Rhinolophus ferrumequinum: one gene and its partners. The protein of the gene in region 1 interacts with the protein of each later gene in a pairwise test. Links are inferred from orthologs where the notes say so. Each region holds a gene or a part of one and is shown in the gene's direction. Other genes may lie near its edges. The genes, in order: SEPTIN1, AURKB and AMOT.

Region 1 (7,223 bases):
AGGACCTTGGAGGAGCCGCGCGCCTGCGGGGGCCTCCCGGTCGTCCCGAGCTCTTGCCGGCGGGCGACCGCGAGCTGCGGAGAGGGCTACTCTAAGCCGAGGACAGTGGCCCGAACTCGGTGGTATTAACCGTGTGCCTCCTGGGCTGCAGCTGGGTGTTGAGAGCCGGAGACTCTTTCTAATTGTCGCTGGGTTGGGCCACCCGCGCCCACCTGCGGGATCGGCCGACAGCGCCAACCACCCGGGCCCGGAGAGACAAAGAGATCCGAAGGCTGACCCAGGGAAAGGGGTGGGGGAAAGACCCAGGCAGACAAAGGGCGGCGGAGGGCGGCGGAGACCCCAGACGGGGCGGGGCGGGGCGCCGAGGCGCAGGAAACAAAGCCAGGCCGGTCCGAGAGGCCGAGGGCTGGGGTGGGGGATGGGGGCCGGGCCCGCCTAGGGTGGGGGAGACCAAGGCTGGAGCAGAGGCAGAGGCGAATACCTCTAGGGACGCGCCTGGGGAGAGGCGGGCCGATGGAATCAGACCTGGGCCCCGGAACCGAGACCCTGAGCCAGAGACTCAAAGTCGTAACCTAACAGCCCTGAGTCAGAGAAGCCGCAAAGGCAGAAAGAGAGAGCGAGCCAGCAGCATACCAAAATACCGGAGCAAAAGATTGACCGCCAGAGACAAAGAGATGTAGACAGGTAAGAGAGAAAGTCGTTGAAGCAGAGTCGGGAGGCGCTGTAAGAAAAGACCCGGAGCCTGGAGAGAAAAAGGCCCAGAGGCGGAGGAACAGACAATGAAACAGGCAGACAAAAAGAGACGCAGGTCGACAGCCCTACAAAGGCCAAGCCCTGGGAGAGGCTGGACCATTAAACCCTGTTTCCCAGCTTGGTGGGGCCCCGGCTGGGGCTGTGTTCCAGCAGACCCCCGGCCGGATACCCACGGTTTGCAGGATCCATACCTTGGGCAAGCTTGCCATTAGGGAGGAGGAAAGAAAGCCTGGAAGTGTCTGCAGCCCATCTAGTGATAGGGAGGGATAACGGAGGTTTCTTAATTCACCTTGAGTAGCACCCGAGTGCCAAGCCAAGAGTTTGGGATAAAGAGATGAAACACATACGAGATTTGTCCTTGGGGTGCTACCAGTTTAAAGAGGCAAGCCCACAAATCATGAACAATAACAAACTTAAGGTATGAGAGGTACCTGCACCTGTAGTGGGAGATGAGTTTGCCCGGGACCACCATCCAATATCTAGACACTGCCTAGGCGGTGGAAATGCAAAGAAACAGCACAGGGCTCTCAACCCAGTAGAAGATGGAAACAGTGCAGATGACGTGACAGATCCTATACTGTCCCCATGAACAAGCTCTGATGGGACCGTAGTACAGAGAGGGACCTTCTGTAGAGTTTAGCGGCTGTGGACGTGTCTTTGAAGTCATTTGTGTACAGAGTTTACTGTAGTTTGACCTTGGGAAGTTGCTTCTGTTTCCTAAACTGTAAATCAGGAAGAATGATAATTTGAATGGTGGAGGATTGATACTGTGGACAACCCTTTGCAAAAAATATCAGCTATTACTCTTTAGGCTGGAGTAATGAAGCAAGATGTGGCGTTTTTGAGCTGACGCTTCAAGGACAGCTAAGATTTCAAAGTCCAGAGCCTGGCTGAAGTGAAGAATTCTAGATAGAGGGAACGGAATGAACAGTGGCCCACACACTAATTGAAAACCTGCTTTGTTCTAGAAGCTTGAGATCCAAAGCTGATTAAGACTTATCCTCAAAAAAAAAAAAAAAAAAAAAAAAAGACATCCTCTAAGAGGAAAACAGAGAATAGTCCTGTTTAGATGCTGTGTGAATTGACATAGTAGGAAAGCAGCGGGAGCTAAGGATAGTACGGTAAGTTTACTCATTTATGCCACAAACATTTCCTGGGGTCAACATGTGCCAGGCACCTGTGCTAGGAAACAGGTAAGGGGGGAACCAGATGGCAAAGAGCCATCCTCTCTTGGAGGAACCTTCCCCCCAAAAGCTGGCCAGCCTACATGCATACAGAGCTAACTTTGACTTTGAGACGACAAAGCCTGGAATTAAAAGATCTGAACTTGAACTCAGGGCTAAAGATACAGAAGCCCTTCCAGGAATGCTTGGTGAGGCCACAGGGAGCTATGAAGAACAAGGCAAGATGAACTAATCCAGCTGATAATGAAATGGGAAAACTGCTGTCCACCATACACTGTCCCACAGAAAGCTCAAGATGGGGACCTTCTTTTCTCCAAACAAGCCCCATCCTTTATCACGTGAATGACTAGGTATGATTTGTTGGAGTTAATAAACATGTAAATGGAACATTGCATCGTTATTAATAAATGTCATCTCTACACTTAACACAAAGACCAGCCAATCGTCTTTTGTGCAGAGCAATCTGTTAATGTGCACAAATGCCTTACATACGTGACTTCCTTTGATTCAATAATTCCCCTTATAGAAACTAGGCCTAAGGAAATGGTTGGACAAGTGCACAGTGATGGTACCCAACACACGTTCATCCCAGCTCAGCACTGTTTATCACAGTGAAGAATGGGAATCAACCTAAATACTAAGCGTCCATAAAAATAACGTAGAGGTGTATTAGAGATGTATAGAACGTAGTAACAAAAATAGGTTTCCAAACAAAGTTATAGTATCCTAGTTTTATAACTATATATGTATTAATATGTATAGGCATAGGAGAAAAATCTAGACATAAAAATCAAAATGGTGTTATATCGTGTTAGTGATGTTAATTTTTCTAATCCACTTGTGTTTTCTTTTTTTTCTATGAGAATATGTGTTGGTTATCCAATAAATAAACATGTTCTTTTCTTAAAGGCTTTGAATAACTCAGGAAAGAGCTGATCGGAATCTGAACTCAGCAGGGGCAAGGGGGTGGAGAGTATAGAGAGAAGGGGACCAATTTTTCTGATTGACGGAAGGATTTGGAAACCAACTGGATATATCTTGTGGAAAGCGAGGGAGGGAGGAGTTCAGAGTTTTGACTAAGCCGGAGTGGGAAGGGGTATTAATCCTTCCCTGGGCTTCTCAGAGGACTCTATCCCCTCACACGTTTGTAGCACCAATGCTGTCCCTTGTGCCTGTCTTTTGTCTCCCCAGAGGACCACAACTCTGACTGATTCACTTAATCTTCTGCAACTAATCCACAGGAGCAGTCACTAGATTTCACACCCCTCAGGTCACGTAATAGCATGAGCCCATCTCACCTACCAGGCACTGTACTGAGAGCTGTATGTGTATTAGGCCATGTCATCCTCATCATGCCTCTGTGAGATAGAATTGTATATGGTGCCATTTAACAGATAAAGAAACTAAGTCCCAGAGAGGTTAAAGTAAGATGCCCAAGGTCACACAGCTAGTAAGATGACACAGCTCTTAATCTCTGTCATCATACGAAACTTGAACAACAACTGTGAATTCAGTGTGGCAGGAGTTTCCAATCCCATTTGATAGATGAGGAAAATTAAGGCCCAGAGAGGTGATTTTTCCCAAGGTTACGTAAAGGGAATGGTACTAGAAATTAGGTTGAAGTAAGGGTGAGATATACAGATGGCAACATGGATGGATCTTAAAAAAATAGTGCTGAATGAAAACGTTAACAAATATATATTCATACATATAAAACCATTTGTATAAACATGTACTGTATACTACACATTTCTCAAAATGTATACAAACCAAAAAATTACACATTTGAGCGAGGAGGGGTGAGGAGTGAGCTAAGAGGCTGCCTTAGTCTGCTCAAGCTGCCATAACAGAATACCACAGATGAGGACTCTTAAACAACAGACGTGTATTTTCTCATACTTCTGGAGACGGGAAGTCCAAGATTGAGGTACCAGTAGGGTAGGTTTATGGTGAGACCTCTGTCCTTGGGTGGCAGACAGCTGTCTTCTGTGCCTGAGCAGAGAGAGACTGCTAGTGTCTCTCCTTCTTATGACCCCAGACCTATCAGATCGGGGCCCACCCTTATGACCTCATTTCACATTAATTACCTCCTTAAAAGCCCTGTCTCTAATATAGTCACATTGGGGGGTAGGGCTCCAACGCATGAATTTTGGGGGAACACTGTTCCGTCCATAACGGGCTAAAGGGGAAATAGTAGCACCACAAGTGGACAAAGCAGATGGGGTTGCAGACCCAGCAGGAGACGAGCTTTAAAGGCTCAGAGAGGAGAGGTCGTTTGGTTCCTAAATGCTAACGCCAGTTTGTGTATACAACTGATTGACTCCAAAGCCCATGCCATCCGAAACTACTCGGAGTCCTGATAACAAAGTGGAAATGTGCTATTTCATTTTACCAATAGGAAATGGAGTTCAGAGAGGTCACAGGATTTGCCCAAGGTCACATGGTAAGTGGAAGTTCCTCAAAGCAAGGCTGCTTTTATATGTTCTACGGCCTCCTGGCCTTGGGCCCTGCCTAACTTCACTTCTCATGCTTTCATGCACGTTTTCGTGCAGTATATTATTTATCGGCCCTTTCTTTGTGCCAGGCCCTGTGAAAGACACTGCCCTCAGAAAGCTCAGCTGGAAGAAGAGACAGCCCGGGAAGCAAATGTGGACAATGGAAGGGCCTGTAAAAGATGCTGAAAAAATTTCACAGAAGAGGAAGAGCCCTTTGAAGGATGAAGAGGTACAGAAGGAACACCTCAATCTGGGCAGAGTCAAGGATGGGGCCACTCAGTGAGGGCGAGTTAATAATGGGGTGATGAAGCCAGAGGGGAAGGCTTTGGGTGCCGGCTCTGACTTGATTCTGAGGTCACTGGGGAGCCCCTAAAAGGTTTCAAGCAGGGGAACACCTTGGCCAGGATTCTGAAGGAAGGTCTCTCTGGCAGTGTTGTCCAAAGACCCGAAGTCTTTTTAACAATTGCAAAATTGCAAAATAAATCAATTGACAAATCAAATAATCCATTGCATGAGCTGGCAAAGAAAATTGATGCCCCCTGCCACCTCCAGTCCTGTTATGGCTTTTGGTCCTAGGATTCTTTTTTTTTTTTTTTTAAACCATCCCTGTCAAAGCCTTCATCTCATTTGCTGGAGAGACTACCCTGCTTCCTTCCTCTCTGCCTACACCCCACCTCCCACAAGGGTGATGTGGCTACAGTGGAACTTTGGGGAAAAGTTGTGCAAAGAACGGGTTGAAGCTTCCTATAAGGATGGATGGGCAAAGGGATCCAGGTGAGGACCCCAGGTGTCTTTGGTGTTGGCTTCCCCCACCTCTCCGGGCCAGTTAGAACATCTGAGCCTCCTACATAACCCGCCCCCTTGTTTGCTGCGCTCAACTTCCTGCCCCATCAGAGGAAGTGGGGAGAGACGGCAGGTACAGCAACAGCTAGCGGGGCCATGGTGAGTCCTTACGCCCAGGAATCCAGGCATCTCTGCACCCCCGTCCCCAGCCCCAGGGTCACCAGGCCCAGGTCTACCCACAGTGGACTGAGATCAGGTTCTACGGGGGCCCTTTCTGCCACTCCCAGGAGCCTCACACTGTCTGCCCCCCCCACCAACAGGACAAGGAGTATGTGGGTTTTGCAGCCCTCCCCAACCAGCTGCACCGCAAGTCTGTCAAGAAGGGCTTCGACTTCACACTCATGGTGGCAGGTCTGGGAGTTTTGGAGAGGGGACTGGTGTGGGTCCTCAAGAGACCCTGGCTGTCCCCTCACCTGACCAGGGGGACCTGGTCTGTCCACAGGGGAGTCAGGCCTGGGGAAGTCCACCCTCGTCAATAGCCTGTTTCTCACCAACCTCTATGCGGATCGGCAACTGCCAGAGGCCAGTGGTAAGACCTTCCCCAGCCTCTCCAGGCACCCTGCCCCGCTCCGATATCCCCAGATGATTCTCTTCCTTTCTATCTGGGTCTCCCAGGACTTTCTGGGTGACTCGGGCAGCTCACTGTTGGTCTCTGAGATTCTGCTGAAAAATTGGTGGGGGCAACTGTGATGCTGAGAAAGGCAGCTCGTCCCACCTCAGACCCCTATCCAGTTCTCTGACCTCCTCCTGTCCCCGTAGCTCGCTTGACTCAAACGCTGACCATCGAGCGGCGGGGTGTGGAGATCGAGGAGGGAGGTATTAAGGTGAAGCTGACCCTGGTGGACACCCCTGGCTTTGGGGACTCAGTGGATTGCTCAGACTGGTGAGGAGTGGGGGAAGGGATGAGAGCTCAGGCCAAACGTGGCTGCTCTGTGGAGACTGAGGGCTCAGGTACAGGGCTGGTCTGCCCTTGCCTCCCACCCACCCTGACCCAAAGGCGGGGCCTGCGTGGTGGCCACGTGGCCCCAAGTGCCCTGTGCTTCCCGACTTGTCACCTATGCCCCTGCCAGTTTTCACGGATTTCTTTGGTTGGAGCCCAAGAAACTACTTGCCACCCACGCCCAGTCCTGGCTAGCCTTCCCCGTTCCCTGCCACGTGTCCCCTGATCTCTGACCACACGCTCTCTCCTCTGTCCCCACCCCAGCTGGTTGCCCGTGGTCCGTTTTATTGAGGAGCAATTTGAACAGTACCTGAGGGATGAGAGTGGCCTGAACCGGAAGAACATCCAGGATTCCCGAGTCCATTGCTGCCTCTACTTCATCTCACCTTTTGGCCGGGGGTCTGGGAGGACACCCTGGGGGTTGGGGCATTTGGGAAGGGTGTGGAGGGAGTGTCTCTGTACCCCGAGACCAAGCCCTGGCCAATCCCTGGGTGCAGGCTCCGGCCCCTGGATGTGGCGTTCCTCCGGGCGGTGCACGAGAAGGTCAATATCATCCCCGTCATTGGCAAAGCGGATGCCCTGATGCCTAAGGAAACCCAGGCCCTCAAGCAGAAGGTGTGTGTGGGGATCGCTGACCTTCGGCCCCACGTGAAGCCTGAAGTCATGATCAAACTTGAGCTCAGCCTTGACGTCTCTGATCTGGGGGTGGAGGGACGTTTGGGAGCATGATGTGCAAGGCTAGACTAGGGGAAGGTGGCGAAGTAAGCCGCCTGAAGGAGCCCAAATCTCTGGAGGCTCAGAATGGACTCCCTGGGCTGGAGGCTGGGCTGAGAACTGCCTGAGGGGCCGGGCATAGACAGCCATGGTTCCAGATCGCCCTTGGCCCCAGGACGCTCACGACCCCCACCCTCCAGTGACTTCAGAGGCCTCCCCTGCTGTGTCTGCTTCTGTCTATCTCCTGGGATTTTGGTTATCTGCCTCCTCTTAGCTCTCTCCCTGTGAAGGTGT
Region 2 (7,283 bases), on another chromosome or scaffold:
GGCATGAATCATTTTGAGAACGAAATACACACACACACACACACACACACACACTCACACACACACCCATACACACACAGAAGGATTCTGGAATGACACCTAAGAACCTAATGACAGTGGTTGCTTCTGGGGATGGGAGTAGAGGAGTAGACAATTAAAGATGGTAGACAGAACTGCCTGCTGCCTGAGGAGCTCTTAGCCCAAGATCTAGCATAATGAAGGCCTTTGTGGAATTAGGAGGACTGCAGCTTCTACTTGTTTCCTTGATTTGGATGTGTTCTGGGCAAGTGTTGGTGGAATGCAGCCATTTTAATTTCTACGCTGTAGCTTAAAGAGCACTATTTTGTCAAGATCAACTGGTAGGCCGTAACGAATTATCTCTGGGAAGTGGCTATCAGGCAATTGAAGTGTGACAAGACCAACTTGAATTTGATTATCCTGTTAGTCTCTGTGGAATTGTAACACAGGTTTTCTCTGATGAAGCTGTCATTCAATCCTAGCTTACCTATACACCAAGGAATCAGGTAATTTCTGCTGAACTTTGTTGGGAGTATACGGTTCCCAGCTCCCATGTCACACTTAACAACACTGAATTGAGCAGTGTCTTTGTGGTACCCCCACCTACTCAACAATGGTTCTTGGTACAGGACGGATACTGTGTGAGATATGGCTATGCCCACTTCAGAGAACACTGGTTGACACTTTTTTATGGACCATGCAATTACTCACTTCCAGGGAATTTCACCCAGCCTTTCACTTAGGAAATCTAGAAGCTTGTGTCCTTGGACATGGAGCAGCAACACAAAGTAGCCCAGTTTATAGATGTCACGTGGCATTTTACTTTTATATACTTACATGACTTTAATTCATTTCATCTATTGTAATCCCCTTCATGATGCCTTTGAGAAGAAGACCTTTGTGTTTTTAACTGTCAATGTGAACACAAATTCATGAATAAAACTTGACATATTTTACTGTAAAAAAAAAAAAGTTGGTAGAGAGACTTACTTTTAACTAGCCTGTGTAAATGTTATCATGTTCGTGTATATTTCAAAGTCCGTACATCAACAACATGGATAAATCTCACAAACATAACGTTGAATGAGAGAAGTCAGACACAGGAGAATATATATCGTATGATTCCATGACTATAAAGGACAAACAGGCAAAACTATGAAGTTAGAAATCAGGATAGTGGTTACTCTTGGGAAAGGGGGTAGTGACTGGAAAAGGAGGACGAGGGGTCCTCCTGGGGTGCTGAAGATGTTCTGTTTCTTGATCTGGGTGCTGGTTTCACAGGGGTGTTTAGTTTGTGAAAGTCATCCAGCTATTTATGTTCTGTATGTACACTTCAATAAAAAAGTCTTTAAAATGTATTAGAAGTGTAGTGTAGAGGCTTGTGGCACTGTCCATCTTGATCCAATCTGTGAAGACACGTAAATGGACCTGGACAGGACTTCCATCATCGTGGCAGAGACACATTTTGTCCAGGCCGGTGGTTTGTGCCAAAGGTGAACACTTGGGCTCTAATAGCCAAGAGCAAACCCAGCAATGAAGTTTGACCTGGGGATGATTAGGGGAGTCTGGATGGAGGAGGGCAGCCATGTCCTGACGCACCCACTTAACTCAGCAGCACTGCTTCAGCTTTACCTTAAGGGGGACAAGTTAGTGAAAAGACATTGGCGATATTCGCCAGCGTCTCCCAATGAGCCCCTTCTAGACCTTTCTGAGTCTACTACTCACTCCTGGACAGGGTTTCTTGGCTGATGATGAGAATTCATGTCTTGAAATTTCTTTGGTGGATATTCCATTATCTAAAATAAAAGGTACTGACATCTGTGCCTCCCAAACATTATAGTATCCCAGCCATCCTGCCCTGAACTTTGGAAGACAACACAGTTCTGAGCCTTCCCAGTCACATGAAAATTCAGCCTTGGCAGATAAACAGTGGTGATCCCCTCTCACCTACCCCTCTCATTGTTACTTGGCCAGTAGCCAGAATCCACACCTAACATGGACTGAGAGGTGAAAAGCAAAGCAAGAGGAAAGAAGAAAAGAGTTCCTTAGAGGAAATTGCTAATTTATGTCATTATAAACCCAGGGAATATCTGCAGAAGTGTCAACTTTGTGTGTGCCAGATTAAGGACAGTGAGCATAATTTTGGATGGGGCTACATTTATCACTATGGGTGTAGATTGGTGATGTTCAAAGTGTGGTCCACAGACTGATGCCGCTTCACAAACTGCTTCTTTCAGGTCCAGGATAAGTATAGAATTTAAAAGTAAGCATTTAAAAACTCATACGGCATTTGTCAGAGTACTTTTATATATGTTGATTACAAACAAACAAAAATGTGGGCTTGTAATTTTTATATTTTTTAGATTTCATTCTTTCAAGAACTCATTTTTATTGTATTTTATACAAGTATCATCTGTGATAGACTGAAAATAATCAAGACTGGTTCTTCCCTCACAGATCATTTATAACAGAGATTTTTGTTCACTAACGGAAACAGTCAGCTGATAGTTGCCGAGCTGATAGAACAGGTTTTTTTTTGCTTTTATGAATAATGCAAATCCCAATTTTATGCTCGCCCATCAAATATTCCTGAAAAGCCAAATATGTTCTGACATAATGTGCAAGTGGGAATTTAATTACTCCAAGGGACAGAGGTACTGTATTAGATCTATCAGGCATTATGTCCCCTGATAGCTTCCAAAAGAGTCTCCCTTCACTAACTCCTGAGAAATAAACTGTACTGCAAGTGATAGGATATTTATAAAGCTTTTTATTGGCTAGTCTCTCTACGCCAAGTATGTTGATGAAGGCATCGCTATTGAAAAGGGCTCCCAGATCTTAGGAAGTGGGGTTGGGTTGACCCTCAGTGAAAACCTCCAGAAGCAAAATGATTTCTCACAAATGGCAGCAGGGTGGTCATGATCCTCAAATCTCTGCATTAGGAAAGGAGACCTGTTGCCTCATGTAAGGAAAATGTTGAGATAGGCATCTAGAGGCTCAAAACATATCATCAAGGTCTTAGGTTCTTCCCAGACATCTCTCCTACCTTTTGCAATGTCACCTTCATTCTCAGGCAGCACCACCAGCATCAATGCCAGGCTGTTTGCTTCCTGGTCCACTTCTAACAGGAGAAAAGGAGTTTCTGCCTAGCGTTCTGGAGAATTCTAAGATTCCCACTAAATGGCCACCTTAGGTCACATGTTTATCCCTGAATCAGTGACCATGATCCTGGAGTAAAAGGTGTTGACATGTAAATCAAACAGGGTCTACTCCTGGACCGGGGATGGGGTCAGCTTTCATCTCACAAAACTCAAGGTGCTTTCAGGAAGTGGAAATCACTCAGAGCATGGATGCTGGCTAGCTAAGCATAATGTCCGCTACAAAAGGTCTTTATCAGGTTAGGGATTTGGAGTTAGCAGCAACAGAAACTGACAACAAGAATGCGGAGACAGGCAGTTCCCTAAAGCAAAGTTAGGGTGTTATTATTTGAAGACAGGAAGGGTGCTGGATAGGCAATACTACTACTTAGAAATATCTGCTAGTTATTTATTTCATAGAAGGTCTCAAGATGTATTTATTTAACCCAATAATAAAATTTGGGATCGGAAAGAAAAGAAAAGTAGGGAGGGTCGCCGGAAAGTGAAAGTGAGAGTCAGTCCAAATAACACGGCCTTCATCAGGAGACCTGCAGAGAAAGGTCTGCTGGTGGAAAACTACTAGGAAGGTGAGCGAAAGACTTTAAAGAACAAAATAGTAATGACACAAGAATAATTTACTATAATTGAGTCTAGATCCAAGTATCTGCGATGACTTCATATATCAAGGGTAGCATTTAAATTCCACTGGGGATAACTAAAATCCTTGGGCATTATATATGAGAGAAACATAGAAAGACTCTGGAAAAAAAACACAAACAACAAGTAAATAAATAAATAAATCCCACTAGGCATGGTGTAGTTTAACAAATTGTGCTGGCATAACTGGCTCTCTATCTGGCAGAAAACAGAGTTAGACCCTAGTTCATACATACACAGGGGTAAATTCCAGCTATATTAAAGATATATATATATGAATATTTTTATATATATATATGAGAATATTTGATTGGGAAATAAGGGAAACTTGCCTAAACCAGAACCCCAAAATGCTGCGGCTCGCATTCAGTTTCTTCCTTTGGGACCCTGCGGGGCTACGTCATGGGAAACCCAGCCAATGAGCATTGGGCCTGGGCGGTGCGCTCAGCCAATGGGGCTAGGGCGGGAGATTTGAAAGGGCCTTAGCGGGGGGCGCGGCCGGGGCGATTCAGTCGTTTGCTAGCAGACAACAGGTTGGCTGTGCCGCGGGCTCCAGGGGAGCTGACCTTCTTTCGTGGGTCTTGCGCTGGGAGAAGGCAAGTGATCAGACAGGTCTGGGGTCCATTGGGCTGGCCCGCGCGCACTCGGTCCGGCTGCTGGGTGCTCAAGGTTTAGAGATAGGGTCCTGGAAAGGGGTGGGGCTTGTAGCAGGGCGGGGGCCGCGAAGCCAGCTCCCGGGTGCGCTGAAGCGGTCAGTTTGCTGATATCACTTTCACTGGCCTTTGGCAATCGCGTCTGGCTACATCAGTCCGACCCCTCCTTTTCTCCCTCTTTTTCCTGTTTCTAACGGCTCTTTCTTTCTTCCTTCGTTGCTCAGCTCTCCTCCCCCTTTCCCTCTAAAGATGACTCAGAAGGAGAACGCATACCCCTGGCCCTACGGCCGACAGAAGGTAAGGGCTTTCCCACTTATCCTCCCCCCACCCTCATGGCGAGTTCCTGCTTCGAGATTTGAATTCCTGTAGAGGGCGATCCTCTAAGCACTTTCCTCTCCCTTATGCTCCAAGAGTTTGCTGGCAGAATCTAGTCTGATCATTTGCAGCCACATCCGGTCACGTGCTGCCAACTTGAATCTGACCAGTCTTGTAGGGACCTCTGCAGGGCTGAGCCTTCTTGTTATATACAAATGATAACAGACTGAGCAAGCAGGGTCTGGCCTTCGGGCCATGATTCCCAACCCTTGTCCTGAAAAAAAATAGGCTTAATAATTTGGACTTTATTTTAATGACGGGTGTGAGATAAGGATCTAAATAGATTTATTTTCCAGTTATCCCAACACCTTTCATTGAAGAGTCTATCCTCTGATTTGAAATACCAGCTTTATTATATATATTAAATTCCCACATATACGTGGGTCTATTTCTAGACTCTTTTGTTCAACTTGCTTATCTGTAAAAGTCGCGTCCAGCGCAACACGGGCAATGAGGATGCGAGAAGGGGCGGCTTTGGGTTAAGTTTTTAAGAAAGAAAGAAACAGAGACTTAATGCAGTTAAATCTCAGAAGGTCAGGGGACTCACAGTTCTCAAAGACTGGAGCCCAGAATAAAGCCGACTGGTGGTATCTATTGACAAGTATACAAGGAAGTGTTATTGCTTCTGACACAGTCTGTGAGACTCATCCATCACGTTATAGAAACAATCCAAATCAATTATGTTGGTCCCCAAACAGCTGAAGCAAAAGTCCTATGATGACTGAGGTGAGGTATGTGACTCCCTAAAGGATGTATATCACATGTTGAGACTGTTTTATAGAGCTGAGCAGAGAGAGCTTGATCTTATCGCTCTAAAGACTTTTCTCACAATTAGGTGAAAGGGGAAAACCAGAGAGTCAGCAGTGGTTTTTCCCAGGCAGGGGGAAGGGGAGACAAGGCCCCTTCCCAAATCTTTTTAAGGCAGCTCATGGGGGTCTCCATGGGGTTCCGCCTGGCTTGAGTTGTCCCCCCCCCTCCCGTGGGGAATCGTACTCGTCATTGGCTGCAACCCCTCTTTTGGAGACTAAATAGAGAGAAATATACAGTCCCAGGGATGCACAGTCTCACAGACTCTTCTTTCCTTAAGGAAAGACATGGGGGGACAGTCTGCTAGGCTGTTGTGTGACAACATGTAAATTCTATACTAATATCACTGTTTGGGAATAGCCTTTCTTCCTCTCTTGGCTAAATTAAAAGGAAGGAGCCCACACAGGCTTTGCTCCCTATTTGTGGGCTTCAGTATCCGGGAGGGTCCACCTGTCCCCTTGTCTACCAGCTCCCTCCCTCATGGAGCTGTCAAGAGCAGAGGCTGAGTGAGAAACCACTGTCACTTCTACACTGGTCACTCCCAGAAGGAAGTTGTGTATATTACCCAGAAGTTGAAAGTGAGAAGTGGTCCAAAGCCAACAAAGTAGCCCTCAGTGTCCCTAAAGCCTGTGGTTGCAAGGGGTAAACTGATGTTTGCTGAACATTCAAGGACCTTATCTAAGCCTTACTAGACTGAACTCTTTAGGGGACTGTGAGAATGCCTCTGTGCTGAAACTCCTTGAATTGTGGATCTTCATTGCCCCAGCCCTCTCTACTGTCCCCTGGGGTGGGGGGTTGGTGAACGAGTGGTGTTATGGTCAGGACTATAGAGATTGGACAGCTTCATGCTAGAGAATGTAGTGAGGGCCAAGGCCAATGAGGTGAAATGTTAGGTGTTGGGGTAAGTCCTTTGCTCCTTATCTTCGGCCCGTTTAGCTTATTTATTAATAACCCATTAATATGGGGCTCTGAGCAGCAATATTTGAGTAGCAATATTGTGGTCACAGTGCTCCTCTTTCAACTGGGAGTGGGTGGCTCTAAGCGAGAATGCTGCTTGTAGCACATTCCAACCTGGTCACTGGGACAAAGGCACCCTCAGAGCTCCCTGTGCTCTTTCTCAGGCTCATTCTGGCTTGAACACCCTGCCTCAGAGAGTCCTCCAGAAGGAGCCTGCCACCCCATCTTCGCTTGTCCTCATGAGCCGCTCCAGTGCCCAGCCCACAGGTAACTGGAACAAGGGGAAGAGGACTGACCTGAAGGAACTAGAGTCTGGGGAGGGTGCGGGGATGAAAATGTCAAAGGACGGCCTCAACCTCTCTGTTTTCTCCTTAGCTGCCCATGGCCAGAACAGCAGTGGGACACCCAACTTAATGTAAGTGCCCAAGCCTTGGGGTGGCAAGAAGAGCGGATGGGAGAGTGAACAGGTTGGAAATGAGGGAGGTAGAAGCTAGGGGCAGGAGGAGGAGGGATGCAGGCAAGAAAACCTGATCCATCTTCGACTCCCTTGGAAGAGAAATGGGGCTGAGGGCAGGATGAGCTGAGGTGCAGGGAGAAGCCAAACAGCTCAGGTGATCCACAAACTGGTACTCAGCTGCCTTCCCCCCACTCTCTAATCAGCCGGTCCTTCACAATTGAC
Region 3 (7,693 bases), on another chromosome or scaffold:
ATTTGATGGGTGTTCCTGGGTCCCTCTACCTCCCTCTTGCTCCAGCTAACCTAGGACTTTGCAAACAAACCCTACCGAGAAGTAAGGACAGTCTGGGCCTTTCCAGAAACTCAAGCTGTGGAAGGAAATATGGTATTTAGTTAAACTGAAGTGAAGCCCTGCATAAATCATAAAGCGGTGAACCCAGGTTACTCAAACAAGACCCTAGGAGGTGCTTGGGGAATAGACTTTTTCATGCAACTTTATTTTTCTACAGCTGATTTATTTCAAAAATGCTGGGGCCCACAAATACCCCAGGAGTAACTTGGCTCCCAAATGCTACAGAAGGTTTTGGCCTTGGAGCACAGTTCTGGTGTTTCCTGAATTCCCACATTGCTGTTTTCCACACAGGGATCAGACTTCAAACTTCCTGTGTCTGGCCCATATGTGTGTGTGTGTGTGTGTGTGTGTGTGTGTGTGTGTGTGTGTGTGTGTGTATGCTTGGAAAGGGTGAGAAGGGGAGGGGGCGGATCCAAAAGGAAGAGCATTTACCTCAATGCTTACATTGCACACGTGTCCCTTTGTTCCTTTCCCATTCAGATAAAGCTGCTATTTTCTGATGAGCTCATTTCTGCATGAGAAGGGCTAGTATCTTTGTGAATAAATAGACTGACTTTAGGAGGTGTCCCATGAAAGGCTGCTTTTCAGTGTTTGTCTGATATATTTGTCGGGTGTTTTTTGGGGGAGGGAAGGAGAGAGTTATGTGGAACCATAAATCCTTAGGATTTATTTTCCCTAATGTATGTGCTTTTGTTTCTAAATGCATTTAAATGATTTAGTTGTTCACCAGGCAATTAGAGGAAGATGTGCTCATTTCACACTTGCAGTTGGCTTGGTGGGTGGGGGAGAAAGTAATTCAATAGAAAGCACTATGGTTTTATGGTCTTTTCTTCTAGAAGAATTTAGCCAGGGATTGAGGAATAGACTGTAAGCCGCATCCTCCTTCTTAACTTTTCCTGTACATTGAGCAAAAATATTGCATGCAAAGGGCAGACTTTTTAAAGATTTTTTTAGTTGCCAAAATTAGGAACCAGGAGATTTTCCATTAAAATATTTGATTTCTGGTCTGGTTTCTCTTGAAAAATCGAAGTCCTGGCCACATTGGGCCTGCATTTCCCACGGTGCTGACCATGGGAAAGCTACCCCTTTACATGGGTCCTGCCTTCTTGGCAGCCTACATCTTGGTCTTATCACCTGACACCGAGCCTGAGGATTTTTACCATTAATTTTTTTATTGTTGTAAAATATACATAACATAAAATTTATTTACCATTTTAAGTGTACAATTCAGTGGCATGAAGTACATTCAAAATGTTATACAACCATCACCACTATTTCTAGAAATTTTTCATCATATCAAACAGAAACTGTGCTCATTAAACAGTAACTCCCCATTCCTCCCAGTCCTCAGGCCTGATAGCCCCTATGTTACTTTCTGTCTCTATGAATTTGCCTATTCTAAGTATCTCAGATAAGTACAATCATACAATATTTGTCCTTTTGTGTCTGGCTTCTTAGCATAATGTTTTTAAGGGAGACATTGATTTTTTCATTGACTTATTTTAGAGCATAGACATTGATTTTTACTGCATGTTAAAGGAGGAGTTACATTTCATTGAAAACAAGGCCAACAGGACAGATCATTTGGGATGGAGACTTGACTTCTAAGCTTAAAATGATCATTATATCCATTATTGATAAGTGGAGGTTCTCAATGTACTTAAACAACCCAGTGTCTTTATACAGGTGTTTTATAGTTGCTGGTTAATTCTGGTATCCCCCAGAGGCTTCTCCATATCTTATTGTCAGGATATGAGGACATGGGGATGCTCTGGGGGTTAGTTAAATGTGTGTGGCATACTTTGCTGCATAAACTCACTCTGGAACTAGCACTTAGCATATGCTTGTTAGTTGTCTTTTTCTGTATATACCCTTGAAGGTAGGAGCCAAGTCTCATCCCTCTGTTTTTTCATTCTTGTCCACAATAGCAACTCTATCGATGTTTGTTGATGTTGGCCTCCCCTCCCCCTTCCTTTTAAGTAGGGCTGGTAAAGCATAGCTTTAAATTCAAACTCAGTTTAAACAAACCAAAGAGTTTTCAGGGTAGAAACAAAATGAACTCTTGCTAGGCAGGAAATAAGGAATACCTAAGCTTAGAGATCTGGGCAAAGCACAGGTACGAAAAAACCTGTTGTTTGCCACAGGCTAAGAAGTGAATCACACACGTGATCGACCATCAATTTCAGAGCTGTGCTCATTCTACTCCACCAAAACTTAAATTTGGAGAAGAATAATATCCAAGGCAGAATTTGAGGAGGGGGAATTAAGTGTTTTAAGGGTTTCCATTGTATGAAAGTCCCCCATAGCTGTGGGGAAGTGTAGTTGGAAAAGTCTTTTGATTGCAACTTCAAGGTTAGGGGCAGGCATCCTAGAGACACAGCCTCCAGGCCTTTGTACTAGGATTTGTTTGCCAGTATTTTCTGTGATGGCAAAAGATGGAAAATGGCCAAAATCACCTCAAAAGGGGAATGGGTAAAATAATTTTTGCACATCTGTGTAATGGAACACTGAGCTATCACGACAAAGAATAAGGTAAAGGAAGTTATCCTGAGATGGATGGATATTTAAGAGACATAATATATTTTGAAGATTACACACAGGCATAGAGAGAAAGGGAGAAAGGGACTATGAGAATGGAGTGATGGAGAGGAACTCTGTATTCCTTTCAGTACTGTTTTAATTTAACCCTGTTCATATTTTACTCTTTCCATTTTAATAGCGTTGTTAACAAGTATCCTGTTGCCATTGTGATCAACAGTAGTCTGTAGCATATACTCATCCTATCTAACTCCGCTGTCCACCTCCTCACTCCAAATAGCAAGGCAGGAATAATCTTCCCTTGATTCACAAACCAGGTGTCTCCATGTCTTTAACGCTCACAATCTCACCTTCTCCATGAAAACTCACCGGAATAACTTCACCTCACACATATATAGAATTATACCAAGAATCCATTTTGTCCATGCTCCGGCTTCTGAATCTTTCAGCAGCCCTAGTAGAGTGCTCTACACACTGAGGCTACCCTACAATATGGCACCTACTCACCACTTTTCCTGTGTGTTTGTGTGTGTGTGTGTGTGTGTGTGTGTGTGTGTTTATATTCTGAGACCCTGTTCACTGTGAGATAGTGTTCCCTTTGAGCACACTTTTCTTGCATGCCTTGATCCATGGCCCCTCAGAAAGCTCCCATTAGGCAGGCTTGAATTGGATGTCACTTTTTTTATTGGCATGAGTTCATTACAATAGCTCTGTGTTGTCAAGGCCTTTATATTTAGACTTGCTTCCTCCTTCTAATGTTTTCTAGGAAATATGGATCTGTAGAGAATGGTGGTTTCCATGGTAAATGTTCCCTCATATTTGTTTTCTCAAGTTCACTTCAGATATACACAGCATGATTTACTTTTTCAGTACCAGTACCGTTGTGGCGCCACTGCAGAACTGTTTAAAAAAGTAATCTCACCCACCCTGGTTAGAAAAGGGGTAATTTTTTATTCTAACTGCAGGGAGCCAACTTCATATCCACCCCCAAAACTGTAGGAAAAGAGTTGACTTACTAAAATACAGCCACAAAACCTACACACCTTGGATGTAAATGATTAAAACAGATGAGCAGAATATTTGATTCTCAGACACATGTGAGTCTCTCCAGGGCATAGTATACACAAGTAGGAACACATACATACATACATACATACATACATACATACATGTGGGCGTGGTTTGTGATTTATACAGTTTTCACACACAATTCATTTTATTTTTATATACAAGTGCAATTAAGTAATAGGGTATGTTTTATAGCTTTTTAGATAAGCAAATTAAGGCTCAGGGATGTTAAGCGACCTCACAAAAGTCACACAGCTCCCTGGTAAGTGCTAAAGCCTGATATGAGTTCTTCCTTTAGCTCCAAATTCCATGTTATTCTGCCACCCTTAGACTGTTTCTCTGTGCTTTCATTGCCCAGATGTAAAATGGAAGATTTTCAGTGTACCAGGATGCTGTTCTCAACTCTCTGTGTTCTTAAGCAACATCAATTTTTCACCAACGGAAAATGTGAACACCTCATTGACACTTCACGTACTTTTCCCTCTCCTGGACTAATTAATTAAAGGGGAAGAAAAGTTACCTATCCCCAGAGGACCTGACAGTGCCATAAAGGTGTGCCGGAGACTGCTGACACATTGTCGCACTCTCTTAGGAGACTGAGAAGCTAACCGTCTCAGCTTTCTCTTCTCAGCAGTGGCTGGGGAGAACAGAGAGCAAGACAATAGCCTCTTGTTTAGTTTTATTAATTTTGAGGGCGGGTGGGATCGGATCGACAGCGCAAGTCACCAATCGTAAGCGAATCCTAGGCCGGGATTAGCCAACCCATAGTTGCAAACGAACAGTGGATGGGATTTACCCTTTCTGGGCCCACTCCGCAGGGGCCGGCCCTCCCAGCCTGCCCAGGGGCGGAGGCTGCGCACAGCCCCGCCCACGCCAGCCCCGCTGCCAGCGCGGCCCGCCACCAGGGGTAGGGGCTTGCGATGTGAGTGTGGTGGAAGGAAGCGGGAGTCTAGGGAGAGCGGAGGAAGAAAGGAGGATGTCTTGCAGAGCTGCGACCTGGGTGAGGGCCTACTGGTAATAGGAAGCAAGAAGGGAAGGAACATGAAGAAGCGTTGCTCCTTCCTGCATTATTTTAAGCAGGCTTTGCAAAAAGCTGCTTTTCAGCATTTCTATTATTTGTTTTTCTTCCTCCTGCTGTGGGGCTGGGAGCTTCACTGGCCCTCCCACGCGACTCTGCTCCGCTGTTGCCGTAGATTATTATTGTAGTCTTTGTAAAACCCTTCCCTTCCTCCCAGCCAGTCCTTGCGTCGATTCTCAGGGCTACTGTAACCGATTTGTGCCATGTTAGTGGGAGGACCAGAGCGAGAACCCCCCCGCCTTTGCCCGAGCGGTAAGACCCGCCATTCAATTGTTTGAAACTTCCCCGCCCTCTAGCCCCACCTCTCTTCCGCCCTCTCCTTCCAGGCTCCAGGCAGGCCCCCTCCCTTCTTTCCCCGCTCTCTACTCCGCCCCCTCCCTAGTCCACTCCCGGCTCCTGGGCGGTCCTAGCGGCTCATCGCAAGAAGAAAAGCCACCCATTCGCCCCCCTCCCCTACCTCTCATCCTTTTCCCAGGAGCTGCCCTCATCGCAGTCACGCCCCTTCCTTCCGAGGAGCTTTCTGACTGCCCAAGCTGGTAGACCCCTGATTTATTTCTCCATCTCCTCTCTCTTTGGCTTTATCTTCTGTTAGTTCTCACCACCCCCTCCACCCCCACCTCCAGTCTGTCTCGTCTCCGACTATCCGCTGCTCCACCCTTTGGCCCGGTATCCTGCCTATCCACTGCCACCAAGGAGATCCCGGAGGGAACAGCGAAGAGGAAGCACCCAGGAATTGGGGCTTTCCCCCTGCCCATCTCTGGCCTCTGGCCTGGGACCGAAGCCACTTGAGCGAGTAGAGACTCGTCACCTTGTCTTCGTTGCCTTCAGGGGTAGGAGACGCGTGGTTACTTTTCGCGGGGTAACTGGGGCAGGAATCCATGGTGGCATGAACTTGATCATGCCCTCGGCATAAGTGAGTCGATCTACATGCGTGCGGGTATGCCCGTGTGTTCTGCTTTCTTTGCAGTTGGCCATGAGTTTTTCGAGATGTGCAGCAAGTTAAATCGGTTAAAAAGTGCGTGCTTCTTTCCCGTCGGAGATGCTACTGGGTACCACAACTTGATGTTACTTTTACTTACTTGCCTCCCGGGGTCTTAGTAGGTCTCTAGGTAATTAAGTACAAAAGAAATTAAAGACCTGAGGGAACTCGAGATCTACATTTAGCTCAAGGAGAAAGTCCATGCTTATCTCAGATTGCTAGATGTGTTCCTCCTAAATTCTTAGGGTTGGGGTGGGGACCTTGAATTCTTGAAGTCTTAAAGTCTGGGAGTAATCTACAACGAACGCTACACTTTTTTGGTGAGTGTGTGTGTGTGTGTGTGGTGTGTTGAAGAGGAGGCTGCCCCTTATCTGCTTTACATGTTAGTGACTAGTTTTGTGGGATCATGCAGGTATGTCTTGAGGGTCTTAAACCTGTGTCATTGTTGGTGCTTCAACAGCAAGATGGACTTACAGATATATGAAGATATATATTGATATATTTTCGATAGGATAAGTGAGAGGGGAAGTGGCAGTCTTTGTAGACTGTGAGCAGTCCCTGGTAAATTGCCACTAATAATTAATAATAATTTGCAGCAAGGGACTAAATAGAATCAAATGAGATAGGTAAGGGAAAGTTTGTGTGAAACAGCATTTCTAATCTCTAGCATGTACTTTAGAAAGAATTTTCCAACACCTTGGAGTGTCTAATTTAGTTCTCCTTCCTCCTCCCTTCCCTTCCACCCCCACCACAAGAAGAATGGAAGTTGGGAGGCAGTTTATTTTGTTTTAATATAACCCTCTTCTCCCATTCAGAGAGGAAGATAATTGCCTTGTTTCCCCAAAAATAAGACCAGGTCTTGTATTAAGATTTGCTCCAAAAGACGCATTAGGGCTTATGTTCAGGGGATGTCATCCTGAAAAATCATGCTGGGCATATTTTCCGGTTAGATCTTTTTTTCAGGGAAGCACGGTAGTCACCATAATCTTTAATAATGGAGGGCTAAGGTTGTTTAAGTCTCCTTGAACCAGACTTTGTGCAAAGTCCTTTCTCAGGCCAGCCTTTGTGAAGCCTTCTCAGTTAGACCTTCCAGAACCCTCATTTAGTAGCTAAGAATAGTGTAAGATACCATTTGGATCTTACACTATTTGGATGCAGGGTAAATTTTCACCCATGTGCCACCTATCTCCAATTGGGCAAGCATGGCAAACTTAGAAGAATGGTGGTATTCAAAGACCTATTACCAAGATGTCCCCAACCCATTGCTTATTTGGCAAGAAATTATTGACATATTTTTAAATAATTTCACTGGTTGATTTTGATGGGGGGAAAGGAAAGCAGGAAGGGAAAGGGGACGTTACAGGTTACAGGGCAACAATTTTAAAGGCTATCTATCGTGTTTCAGATCAACTGGGAGGGAAAAGTTGGCCTGACCAAAACTACATTTTATAAATGGCCTGGGACATTTTAATAGCCAGGTGGTTGTAGAGTAGTTGCATCTATTTAGAGATGATAACACTCAGGTTCTAGCTATTCTGTATGGGCTTATCCGGTGTCATTTACAGACACTTTCTGGCACTACATCCTACTTCGTTTTAAGATACTTCTTTCTTTGGAAAGGTCTGGCTATGTAAAATTGAAAGTGCTTTTCCTAACTTCATAGTCTAGATATGAAGTAAACCTCTGACCAGGCTTGTATATCGCGTAACTTTTCTGTGAAAGTTGTGGATCTCTTTACCTATTTAAAAGATTTTAGAAGGGAATTTAAAAACTCATATTCAATATACTCTTTTGTATTTGGAAATTAAAATCTTATTTCTGGTTTGTGAAGTAGGATTCATTTTGTGGAATTGCTTTATCTGTAGTTTTATAAAGAATCAATCAGACTCTAGAATTCCTTAAGAACAGTCTATTCAGAAAGCAGAGGGATG

The links.
Region 2: the proteins of SEPTIN1 (region 1) and AURKB interact in binary tests that used the Homo sapiens proteins (3 or more experiments, as listed by UniProt). The link is inferred for Rhinolophus ferrumequinum from reciprocal best matches to the Homo sapiens genes SEPTIN1 and AURKB.
Region 3: the proteins of SEPTIN1 (region 1) and AMOT interact in binary tests that used the Homo sapiens proteins (3 or more experiments, as listed by UniProt). The two-hybrid records come from large-scale screens. The link is inferred for Rhinolophus ferrumequinum from reciprocal best matches to the Homo sapiens genes SEPTIN1 and AMOT.

What each region holds. Positions count from the first base shown.
Region 1 is NW_022680357.1:742,222-749,444, forward strand, and holds the start of SEPTIN1 (septin-1), read left to right. Parts: upstream 1-4,127; 5' UTR 4,128-4,268; coding exon 4,269-4,380; intron 4,381-4,521; coding exon 4,522-4,661; intron 4,662-5,047; exon of another isoform or gene 5,048-5,188; coding exon of another isoform or gene 5,189-5,206; intron 5,207-5,288; exon of another isoform or gene 5,289-5,371; coding exon of another isoform or gene 5,372-5,374; intron 5,375-5,535; coding exon 5,536-5,626; intron 5,627-5,717; coding exon 5,718-5,804; intron 5,805-6,034; coding exon 6,035-6,158; intron 6,159-6,479; coding exon 6,480-6,614; intron 6,615-6,712; coding exon 6,713-6,830; intron 6,831-7,223. UniProt on the Homo sapiens protein: Filament-forming cytoskeletal GTPase. May play a role in cytokinesis.
Region 2 is NC_046304.1:10,789,283-10,796,565, forward strand, and holds the start of AURKB (aurora kinase B), read left to right. Parts: upstream 1-4,277; 5' UTR 4,278-4,408; intron 4,409-4,689; 5' UTR 4,690-4,714; coding exon 4,715-4,762; intron 4,763-6,768; coding exon 6,769-6,871; intron 6,872-6,979; coding exon 6,980-7,019; intron 7,020-7,264; coding exon 7,265-7,283. UniProt on the Homo sapiens protein: Serine/threonine-protein kinase component of the chromosomal passenger complex (CPC), a complex that acts as a key regulator of mitosis.
Region 3 is NC_046284.1:41,286,398-41,294,090, forward strand, and holds the start of AMOT (angiomotin), read left to right. Parts: upstream 1-4,645; 5' UTR 4,646-4,705; intron 4,706-5,194; exon of another isoform or gene 5,195-5,613; intron 5,614-7,693.